3 linked regions of the Cricetulus griseus genome follow. The protein of the gene in region 1 purifies or fractionates together with the protein of each later gene. This does not show direct contact. Links are inferred from orthologs where the notes say so. Each region holds a gene or a part of one and is shown in the gene's direction. Other genes may lie near its edges.

Region 1 (2,471 bases):
ATTATAGGTGTGTGCCACGTTGCCTAGATTAGGTGGTGTTGGGGGTCAGTCATAGGACTTTGTGCTAGGCAAACTATCCCAACTGAGCTACATCACCACATCTCAAGTATGCTTCTCAATGTAAAGAATAAAGTGAAATAGAATGATTTTGGGAAAGGGCAGAAGTACTATTAATCTTCTCATTTTCCTTTTTTTTTTTCTTTTTTTTTTCTTTTTTTTTTTTTTTTTTAAGATTCTGAAACGTGTACCTAATAGCGTGCTTTGGCTGTTGCGTTTTCCAGCAGTAGGAGAACCTAATATTCAACAATATGCACAAAATATGGGCCTTCCCCAGAACCGTATAATTTTTTCACCCGTGGCTCCTAAAGAGGAGCATGTCAGGAGAGGTCAGCTGGCTGATGTCTGCCTGGACACTCCCTTATGTAATGGGCACACTACAGGGATGGATGTTCTCTGGGCAGGAACACCCATGGTGACTATGCCAGGTAAGTGGCTGATAAATCATGGCATCATTCTTTATTCGTTAATTTTTCGTTTGGGTCAAGAAGAGTACTTGAAGGTGAAATGGTGTGTACTAGAAGTAATTAAGGTGGGATGATAGAAAATGGGACTTTTTCAAGCTTGAATACTTGGCACCATCCTCCTCATCTGTACTGTGTGGATCCTTAAATGCAATTAACATTGATGACTGTGTGACTTACAGTTCTAAGATGTGCATTATTATCTTTACCTTCTAGGAGAGACTCTGGCCTCTCGGGTTGCAGCCTCTCAGCTCACTTGCCTAGGATGTCTTGAGCTCATTGCTAAAAGCAGACAAGAATATGAAGACATAGCTGTGAAATTGGGCACTGATTTAGAATAGTAAGTAAACTGCTAGAAGCAAACTATATGGAGAATGTGGCTAAAATAAAGCCATAAGTAATATAAAATAGATGAATTAAGTTGTATGCTCTCTTCATGGGACATGGTCTAAACTCTCAAGTAATCAGTAAACTTTAATAAAGAACTTTCAAAAGCATCAGATGTTCCACTTTTTCATAGTAGGATTTTAAAAAGCACCACCACCACCAACAAAAAAGCATTAAAAAAAACTTAGTTGCCTGAAAATGAGTGGGAATTAGAGGGATCATGCTAAGGTAAATGGAGCTTCACTCATTCAATGAAATAGTGTTTCTAATTTGTCTCTTTGTTTTATGTTTAATGCATTAATTTTTTTCCCTGCTGGACATTATTAGCACACACCTTTAACCCCAGCACTTGGGAGGCAGAGGCAGGCGACCTCTGTGAGTCCTCTGGCCTTTACATGCATACACACCCAAATATACAAATAGTCCATAGGCTCTTTTTTGTTTTGTTATTTGAAAGGAAGCATTAATATTAATATGAATACAGTTTGGTTGAGCACCAATGGACAGCCAACTTTCAATATATTTCTTTGTTAAACTCCATAACCAAAATCAACTTGGAGAAGAAAGAGTTTATCTGGCTTATGTATTCATATCACAGTTCATCATGAACAGATGCCAAGGCAAGAACCTGGCAGCAAGAATTAGAGCACAGAAATGGAGGAACACTACTTGGTGGCTTGCTCCCCGTGACATTGCTCAGCCTGCTTGCTAGGAGTGACACCGCCCATATTGACTTAGGTCCTCTGACATTAATCAAGAAAATGCCTTACAGACATGCCCATAGATCAGTCTGGTGGGTGGAATTTCTCACTTGAGGTTCCCTCTTCCCAGATGTTTGTGTTGACAGGCCAATCAGAAAAAAGTGTTATTTTTGGTTCAGCCCTCCTGGAACTCGCTTTGTAGACAAGATCTGACTGCCTCTGTCTCCCAAGTGCTGGGATTAAAGGCATGCACCACTACTGCCCTTCTAAGAATTATTATTTTTTATATTATTCTCACACAAAAATGACTAGGTATTCATAGGGTCTAGTTCTGAGTTTTTGTTCTGACTTGTAAAATTGGTTATCTTTGTTTTTATTACCTAGCCTGAAGAAAATTCGTGGCAAAGTTTGGAAACAGAGAATATCTAGCCCTTTGTTCAACACCAAACAATACACAATGGAATTAGAGCGACTCTATCTGCAGATGTGGGAGCATTATGCAGCTGGCAACAAACCTGACCACATGATTAAGCCTGTTGAAGTCACTGAGTCAGCCTGAATAAAGACCACGCACAGGAGAATTACCCCTGTACCTGAGCCTCGACCTTCTGGGGGAAAGGGAACTAGATAACATGCTTTGTGCTTATCTGTATCTGTACAGTACCGTGTTGCAGATGGGTGATATATAGCGATAATAGAATAGCACAGCCAGACTTGCTTCCTGCATGATGGGGAGAGACAAGAGATAAGAAACTGCTATTTCACAAGGAATCTCTGTAGAGTTTTATAGCAAGCAGATGGTGCAGAGGTCTGGAAGGTCTGGTCTCCCTTGGTCTTCCACGGGATGCTTAATGTGTGTGGA
Region 2 (4,128 bases), on another chromosome or scaffold:
TGTTTCTACACTTGGGATTTCATGTAAGTTTCTTCCTGAGTGATCACTTCATCCTACAGGACTATTCATAGGTTCTCTCATTTAGTCCTCACAGTCATCTCAATAAACAAGTATCATTTCCATTTCAGACAGGCAGCTGAGGCCAGGAAGGCTGATGCTCTTGCCCCACAGCCACACAGTCTGTGTGATTACCACAGCCTTCTACTGAGACAAAACAAAGGAACATCTCTCATATATATATATATATATATTTTTTCCCTCAGCCTCATAATTTTAGAGCACAATTCCTGTCAGTCTTGTGGTGAGAGACCTTGTACAGTCTTCATTTGATTACTTGGTCAATTAAAACGTGAAAAGGTAGGCACCAATAGTTTTCCCTACACTGTTGTGAGGGTTACATCAAGTTTTTTTGTGACCAACAGCCACCTATTCTTGGAGGGATGACCTGAAACTAAGGGAGGTCAATGTGAGGGACTGTTATGGAGGAGCCACCGAGGGCATCCTTGGCTCCGGAAGCACATCTGGTGGGAATGCCACTGTTCACTGGATGAAAAGGGGTGTTCAGCCTTGGCGCAGTCTCAGCTCCAAGCAAGCTTCCAAGTGAGACCCTGGCTTTGGGCTCCAGTGAGCACAGGGAGCCCTAGCCTAGGAACCGCCTGTGGATTACTGGGTTACTATCAGACCTTTACTTCCATAGGACACAAGGGTCCTCAGGCCTCTCTCAAACTTATCAGACTGAACCCTGAGACAGCTTTAAATCTAGTTACGCGCCCCTTGGGTCTGTCTGTCCGACACAGCTCAATATCCCCCGTCGGTGAAACGGGCATTTTAAAACAGGCCCAAGCGATGTGTAGCTAGGGCGCCCAGCACGCAAGAAGCCCTGGGTCAGACGCCCAGCAGCCCATACACCGGTTACGGCGGCGCACCTGTAACCCCAGCCCTCAGCAGACAGGGGCAAAGAGACCAGGAGCTCGAGGTCATCGTTCGGTGCGGAGCCAGTTCGATGTTACTCTGCCCGAGAAATAACAGGGGCCCGAGTGGACCAGCGGGAGGAAACCGACCGCTTCGTTACGTACGCGGGGCCGGCAAAGCGCCTGAGTCACCGCTCCCGCTTGTATTTTTCCACCTCCCATCCCGCCCAGGTTTTGGTGGATTCTACGGGAAGCAGCCCGTTACGCCGGGCTCCGCACGCCTGGCCACGCCTCTCTGCGCGGCGCGTCGGCCCCGCCCACAACAGGATCCGCAGATTCGCTACCCGACTCCTTAGGGTTATCTGGGCAGCTTCCCTTGTCTGAGATTTGTCATGAAACTCTGAGGAGACTTTTCCCCCCTGTGAGCATTTCGCCCCGAGTCGGAAGTGGGCTGCTGCTTGAGTTGTGCTAGAAACAAACATCCAGGAGTACTGGCCGACACCGCCAACGGGGCTCGGCTACCCGGGCGTCCTTTTCTCGACTCCACCGCAGGTGAGCGGAGGTGACGGCCAGAGCCCAGCACGGTGGCGAATCTGCAGCGCAGCCTCACAGGCGCTAGAGCTGCGCGAGGAAGGGGCAGGCAAGAGGAGCGAAGGAGCGCGCATCCTGTCCACTCTCTCGCCCCGCCCGCCCGCTCGCTCGCCCGCTCGCCCGCCCGCCTCGCGAATCTGCGTCGCCCGACGCACCACTCAAATCTCCCGAGCTCCGGCCGGCCTCCTCCCCCTCGCTCCGCCCCCCTTCCCTCAGGGGGCCCGTCGCAGCTTTCGTCGCCGCCGATTCGTCACGAACCCCAAGGCCAGAGCAGCTGGATCAGGGTGGTGCAGTCCACTCTCCGGGGGATGCGGCCAATCTTCAGGCTCCCTGGGCTACGACTCCCGAGCCTTACAGGGCGCCGCCCGAGGCAAGGCCGCCACACTCGGCCCCGTGGACCTCTCCGCAGCGCTCGCGGCGAAAGTGCGAATGCAGACGCGGCGCCCGCTGGGCCTCGTGCAGGTGGCGGTGGTGTTTGGTGCGCGCGCCGGGGAGGTGGTGGTGGGGGGGCGCCGCCGCCCCGCTGCGGGGCCGGGTCTCGCGCTGCGCCGCCGCCGCCGCCGCCTCACGCCGCTGAGGTGCTGCGCGCGGTGGGGGAGGGTGAGCCGCTCGCCACGAGCGGGTGAGTAGGGCCCTGGCGCGTGCGTGCGTGCGTGAGTGCGCGGAGCCGGGGTGTGTGTGGGGGGGGCACCGAACGCGCCCGGGCGGGAGGAGAGGGCAGCGGCGCGCGTTACCCGCCCCCCCCCCACCCAGCGCCCGCCCGCTCGCTCGCCCGCTCGCCCGCCCGCCCGGATTCAGGGACCGAAGCTGGGTCTCAGGCTCGGTCTCGCGGTGTTTCCAACGCCCCGAAGAAGTGCCACCTCTGGTCCAGAGGATCGGGGCGCGGGGACGCGAGCGGCTGTGTGGGAGCGGGAGCGGGAGCGGGGCTTGGCCCGGGCCGCTGGCCGGTGAGGAGGCGGGAGGGGGCGGGGCCTGCGAGGGGACGGGGGAGGGGTCTTGCGTGGAGGCCAAGTGGGGCGCGCTAGGGAGAGCGGGAAGGTAAGGGGGCGCGAGATGGGCCCTGGGCCCTGAGGGTAGAATTGGGGGTGGAGAGGAATGGAGTGTTACGGTGAACCTGGGTCCTCAGGGCAGAATCTGAGGGAGCCGTGGGTCATGCTGAGGTATGGAAACCGGACTGTTAGGAGAACCTGGAATCTGGGCAAGCCATTGAGGGGACAGCAACGGAGTCAGGCCGAAGCCTTGGACCCCCATTGCGTATCCCTCTTTTCCTGACAGTGTAAATGAGCAAGGATGGACCAGGAAGGTGGGGGAGATGGGCAGAAAGCCCCGAGCTTCCAGTGGCGGAACTACAAGCTCATAGTGGATCCTGCTCTGGACCCTGCCCTGCGCAGGCCTTCTCAAAAGGTGTACCGCTATGATGGAGTCCACTTCAGTGTCAGTGTGAGTGCACCAGACCTCCTCTTGGCTTCCTTGGTCCTCCCCCCATCCCCCTGTTGAATATCCAACACTAGACCTCCTGTACCTGTAGCTTGGTTTTCTGAGAATGAGCAAGTTACACCAGCTCTTCTGTATGTGGCTTCATAGAGTCAATAGCCTGGTAGATTTTCATGCTGGTCTCATTCTGTTTACTAGGACTCAAAGTATACGCCAGTGGAAGACCTCCAAGACCCCCGCTGCCATGTCAGGTCCAAAAACAGAGACTTTTCTCTCCCAGTTCCGAAGTTTAAGGTAATTATCTGCTGGTCTCCCAGCATGTTGGTTCTCGGAGAGTGTCAAGGATCCTAGCACCCTGGTCTTTTCATAGTCTTCGAAAGTGGCTATTCCAGTGGATCACTGACGACCAGATCATTGCTATTGAGTCCGTGAGGCTGAGATGTTTGGGACAGGAGGTACACTTGCATAGCTGAGGTGTTTCTAGTAGAGGGATGAGGTATAGGGGGATGCCCTAGTTATTCAGCAGTTAGGGGTACTGCTAAGGCCACTGCCCACTTGGTGTCCTTGGTTCCTCACTGTCATTTGGGTATGTGCTCCAACTTGCTTGTAAGAACAGCTCCATTTCCGGATTTAATGGGATATTCTTCAAGCTTTGGACTGAGCCTAGAAAGCTGGTGGTTCTTTGTTTCCTTCCAATTTTGTTTTTTTCATTGATTCTTAATTTATCGGGTGCTTTCACCTCTTTCACTTTCCCTGAGCAGTCTCACTTAAGCTCTGTTTTCTGAATGTTTATTTCCCATACCTATTTCCATCTAACACCTACCCAGACACTAGAGACTTAAACACATTATCCTTATTCTCTCGGTCCTTTTCGTTTTTTTCTTTACTGAAACAGCAACACCAGGTACTCAGGTGCATGAGCTAGAAACCTACGAGTCACCTGGTAGTTATTTCCTTTCCATAGTCATAATCTTTGTCTTTCATTGCTGTTTTCTTCATGCAGAGTCTTATGTATTTCACTTGGTTTTCCTGGCTCCCTCCTCAATTTTAGCTTCTATCTTGCTGTCATTAGTCTCTGGCACTGTTGTTCTTACTTTATGTTCTCATTTTATGTTTCTGAGTGTGTCTTTTCTTTCCTTTGTTTTTTGTTGTTGTTGTTGTTTTGTTTTTGGTATTTTTCAAGACAGGGTTA
Region 3 (4,211 bases), on another chromosome or scaffold:
CCGGCCCTATGACCCAGAAGAAGAGTACAACCCTGAGCGAGCTTTCCATACTCTGCTTGCTGAGCCAGGGAGGCGCCATGACGTGGAAAATGTCCCTGAGACAGCTGAGAGGGAAGAGGTGGCCTACGATCCAGAAGATGAGACCATCTTAGAGGAAGCTAAAGTGACCATTGATGACCTGCCCAATCGGATGTGTGTGAAAGTCAGCTCCACGGAGAGGCCTGCTGACTTTGCCACCGATGCCACTAATCCCTCTCTAGTAGAGCAACAGAAAATGTTAGAAGAGCTAAATAAGCAGATCGAGGAGCAAAAGAGGCAGCTGGAGGAGCAGGAAGAAGCCCTTAGGCAGCAGAGGGCTGCAGTTGGCGCTTCCATGGCACACTTCTCTGTGTCAGATGCACTGATGTCACCACCTCCCAAGTCCTCCCTGGCCAAGACAGACCTGTTCTCTCAGGAACAGCAGGCCCAGGACCCAAGTCATGGAGCCCTGGGTGCCAACCACAGCTTAGACTCCAGACACAGTAGGGACCCGAGGCAGGCCAGGAGGCTGGCTGCTGAGAACACCGAGAGTGAGCCTCTTCCCAGGGCTCCCACAGGAAGCACACCTGGCCCACAAGGCACCCTCCCTGCCAGGGAGATGCCTGCTGCTGGGACTGCAGCAGTCCAGGGACCTGCCCTAGCTCCTGAAGCCAAGGAGTCAGAGGCTGTTCCCTGGGCTCCGGGTGAAAACGCTGTGTTGAGGCCTGAACATGATATGCAGAAGTGTGAGCACCCTGGTAACCCTGTCTCCTTGCCCCTGGACAACAGCCACCTTCCTGCTGCTGGTGATGGTGCATCCAGGCCCACAGCGCCCCGAAGAGTGCTACTGCCCACGCCTCCTAGCACCGCCTTTCCACCCAGCTTCCCTTTGCAGCCTGAAGCACAGAATTTCACCTCCGGAGGCAGGGAGCCGTTTCCAGGACCTATGTTTCTGTCTCAGGAAACATCTCTTGGCTCATCCCAATACGAGGACACTCGGGGTGCTCAGTCTGCTGGGAGGAGTGACAGCCCAGTGGCTGATACTGAGGACAGCAGGGAGCCACAGCTCAGGACTGGCGAGGGAACTACTCAATTCCCCCAGCCTGGGCAGAGGGGAGGGGGCCCTCAGCCGCAGTTTCCTGCCCAGCGGGAACCTTTGCCACGCACTTTTGGGATGTCAGGACACCATGGCCCTGGTTTCCCAGGACCTAGGGGGCCAGTCCCTCCCTTTTCAGAAGAGAGTATTGTTCCTAATAATGATGGACCAAGGGGCCCTCCACCTGCCCGATTTGGGGCCCAGAAGCCACCAATCCCTTCCTTATTCTCTGGGCAACATGGGCCACCTCCCTATGGGGACAACAGGGGACTCTCACCTTCTTACCTTGGTGGGCCCAGAGGAGGAGCACCAGCCCAGTTTGAAGAACGCAAAGACCCACATGGGGAGAAGAGGGAATTCCAGGATACACCATACAACGAGATGGCAGGTGCCCCTGCTCAGTGTGAAGGACCGGACCAGGCCCAGTTCATGGGGAACAGGGCACCCTTCCAATTTGGAGGCCAGAGACGGCCCCTGCTGACTCAGATGAAAGGGCCCCGTGGAGGGCCTCCGCCATCTCAGTTTGGAGGCCAAAGGGGACCACCACCTGGCCATTTTGTGGGCCCACGTGGGCCACATCCTAGTCAGTTCGAGACTCCCCGGGGCCCGCACCCTGGCCAATTTGAAGGACCCAGGGGCCAAGCACCAGGTTTCATGCCCGGCCCCCGTGGTGTTCAGCCCCAGCAGTTCGAAGAGCAGAGGGTGAACTCACCGCCACGGTTTGCAGGTCAGAGGGCACCTGCACCCCTGCCGTATGGAGGACCACGGGGGCCCGCACCCTTTGCTGAGAAAAATGAACAGCCACCTTCTCGATTTCACTTCCAAGGCCAGTCTTCCCAGCCCGTAAAGCCTCCCCCTCGGCCCCTGCTGGAGCTACCAAGCCACCCTCCTCAGCACAGGAAGGACCGATGGGATGATGCAGGCCCGGCCACTGCCCTGCCTTCCGGTGCTGGGTCTGGGCAGGGCCCCGAGGCTGACGGGCAGTGGGCCACGCCTGAGTTCCGAGAAGGCAAAGGGCATGAGTATAGGAGCCCAGCTTTTGAAGGGAGACAGAGGGAGCGGTTTGAAGGAGGACCTAAAGAGAAGCCTCTGGATGAGCCTGAAGCTCAAGGGTTGGAGAATCGGCAGGGCCGGGCGTTTGAGGATCGGAGGCGAGAGCGAGGCCGAAACTGGAGTCGGGAGAGAGACTGGGAGAGGAGCCGGGAGTGGGACCGGCACCGGGAGTGGGACAAAGGCAGAGACAGGAGCTCCAACAGGGACAGGGAGAGAGACGCCGACCGGGCTAAGGACTGGGACCGAAACCGGGAGAGAAGCAGGAATCGCGACCGTGACCGGGAAAGGCGGCGAGACCGAGACAGGTCCCGGAGCAGGGACCGAGACAGGGACCGTGAGAGAGCCCGGGACCGGGACCGGGACCGAGGCCGGGACCGGAAGGACCGTAGCAAGAGCAGAGAGAGCCCTCGGGATCTGAAGTCTGAGGCTAGGACCTCTGATGGGGGCCCCGCCACAGCCCAGGCCTAGAGGCCATTGCACTCAGGGCTGGTGACAAGACAGAGACACGCTGGTGAGGACAAAGACCTCGTGTCAGCTATTGTTAATAGAGGCTTAGCCTGGCAAAGACCCCTTTAAAAGCCAAGTACATAAAATGTGTTGAGCAAAGAGTTTTTGAAATAGCTATGAACTTAGATGCAGGATATAATATTCTGGACTTCAGGAATTACTGTAATTTTGTGTATAATGGTTTGTTACAAAATTTCCCAACTTTACAATTCTGATGTTTTTTTAATAACTTAATGTTTCCATTTAAAATTACAGAAATGGGAAAGTATCTACAAAAGCATATTGCTTTTTTTTTTTCAGATTATAAAGTTATCTTTTCCAATAACTTGACTGGTGTAAGTCTTAAGGGAATTTCAGTGGACCGTAGAGCTAGCTTTCCCTGTGCTGCCATCTCTGCTTCCGTGTATCCTGACCTGTCCGGGGGCTCTCAGTGCTGTCCTGGATGGAAAGCACTGTTGAGGGGGTGAGCTGCGGTGTGTGCTTGCAGTGGGAGAACGGTCTTCCTAGGCCTGGTTCCCCACAACGCATTCTTTAGAAGTTTTTTCAAAACATAATTAGAAATAATCCGTCCCAGTGGAAATTGTTACATTTTAAATAACAATTTATTTTTAAATGTTCAAATTTATCAGCCTAAAGAAGAAGCAAAAAGAGTTCAGAGTAGCTTAAGAGGGAAGAGGCAGGAGCCATTCAGAAAAGCATTGCCCGGTGCTGTCCTCTGAGTGGCTCTCTCAGGCCCCAGACAGGTGATGGGTTTGGAAGCTTCTCGGTGAGATGTGGCAATGTTTGTACCAAATCTGGAAGAGGACTGAGGGTGAAACAGACTGCTTCGTAGCCTTTAGGCTACTCTGCTGTTGCCACGTAGCCCCTCTGAAAATACCGTGAGAAGGTTGGCTAACTTATTTGACTGTGCAAATATGTTTGATAGTTCATTTTATATTTTCATAAACTTACTTTTTCAGATAGAGAATTAGAGAGCTTCGTTTGTTCTTTGGAGTCTTTTATTTCATTGTACATCACTACAGATTTTTTTTTCACTTTATAGCACAAATTTTTTAAGTTGAGAAGACATGAAAAAAATAGCAATTTGGGATATTTGCTATTACAAACCAAATGTCAGTAGTTTAAATTACATGAAAGTGTCAGTTTCAACATCTAAAAAGATGTGAAGTTTTTTTTAACATATAAAGTAAAATTTTCTAACTTAAATGCACAAGCATAAAAATCAAGTGTGTTTCTTTAGGTTTACTTGGTAGAAATTTCTGTACATTGTATTTTGTATTGCAGAGTGTTATATCACTGTCCATTTAAACACAGGACTTCATAGGTTTTGTTACTTGAAGTAGAATAAATATCTACAGAGTTCTTGTCTCTCTCTTCACTTAGCCTTGACCCCCAGTTGTCACAGGTGCAGGCACAAGCTTCCCACTCCCAACTAGCAGCCTGTGTTGGATGCTGCCTGCTGTATGGTGTCAGGACCCAAGGAGCAATGTGCTGGCCAGCATCCTATATAGAACCCTGATTGCATATGTGTGGGCTT

The links.
Region 2: the proteins of Ogt (region 1) and Setd1a purify together in Homo sapiens (affinity purification with mass spectrometry; 4 studies listed by BioGRID and IntAct, with this or other methods). This does not show direct contact. The link is inferred for Cricetulus griseus from reciprocal best matches to the Homo sapiens genes OGT and SETD1A.
Region 3: the proteins of Ogt (region 1) and Dido1 purify together in Homo sapiens (affinity purification with mass spectrometry; 3 studies listed by BioGRID and IntAct, with this or other methods). This does not show direct contact. The link is inferred for Cricetulus griseus from reciprocal best matches to the Homo sapiens genes OGT and DIDO1.

What each region holds. Positions count from the first base shown.
Region 1 is NC_048604.1:68,602,535-68,605,005, reverse strand, and holds part of Ogt (UDP-N-acetylglucosamine--peptide N-acetylglucosaminyltransferase 110 kDa subunit), read left to right. Parts: intron 1-232; coding exon 233-485; intron 486-737; coding exon 738-861; intron 862-1,993; coding exon 1,994-2,168; 3' UTR 2,169-2,471. UniProt on the Homo sapiens protein: Catalyzes the transfer of a single N-acetylglucosamine from UDP-GlcNAc to a serine or threonine residue in cytoplasmic and nuclear proteins resulting in their modification with a beta-linked N-acetylglucosamine (O-GlcNAc).
Region 2 is NC_048596.1:72,994,053-72,998,180, reverse strand, and holds the start of Setd1a (histone-lysine N-methyltransferase SETD1A), read left to right. Parts: upstream 1-1,268; 5' UTR 1,269-1,463; intron 1,464-1,742; exon of another isoform or gene 1,743-1,964; intron 1,965-1,976; exon of another isoform or gene 1,977-2,124; intron 2,125-2,308; exon of another isoform or gene 2,309-2,449; intron 2,450-2,777; 5' UTR 2,778-2,792; coding exon 2,793-2,942; intron 2,943-3,134; coding exon 3,135-3,230; intron 3,231-4,128. UniProt on the Homo sapiens protein: Histone methyltransferase that catalyzes methyl group transfer from S-adenosyl-L-methionine to the epsilon-amino group of 'Lys-4' of histone H3 (H3K4) via a non-processive mechanism.
Region 3 is NC_048599.1:1,273,049-1,277,259, forward strand, and holds the end of Dido1 (death-inducer obliterator 1), read left to right. Parts: coding exon 1-2,635; 3' UTR 2,636-3,638; downstream 3,639-4,211. UniProt on the Homo sapiens protein: Putative transcription factor, weakly pro-apoptotic when overexpressed. Tumor suppressor. Required for early embryonic stem cell development.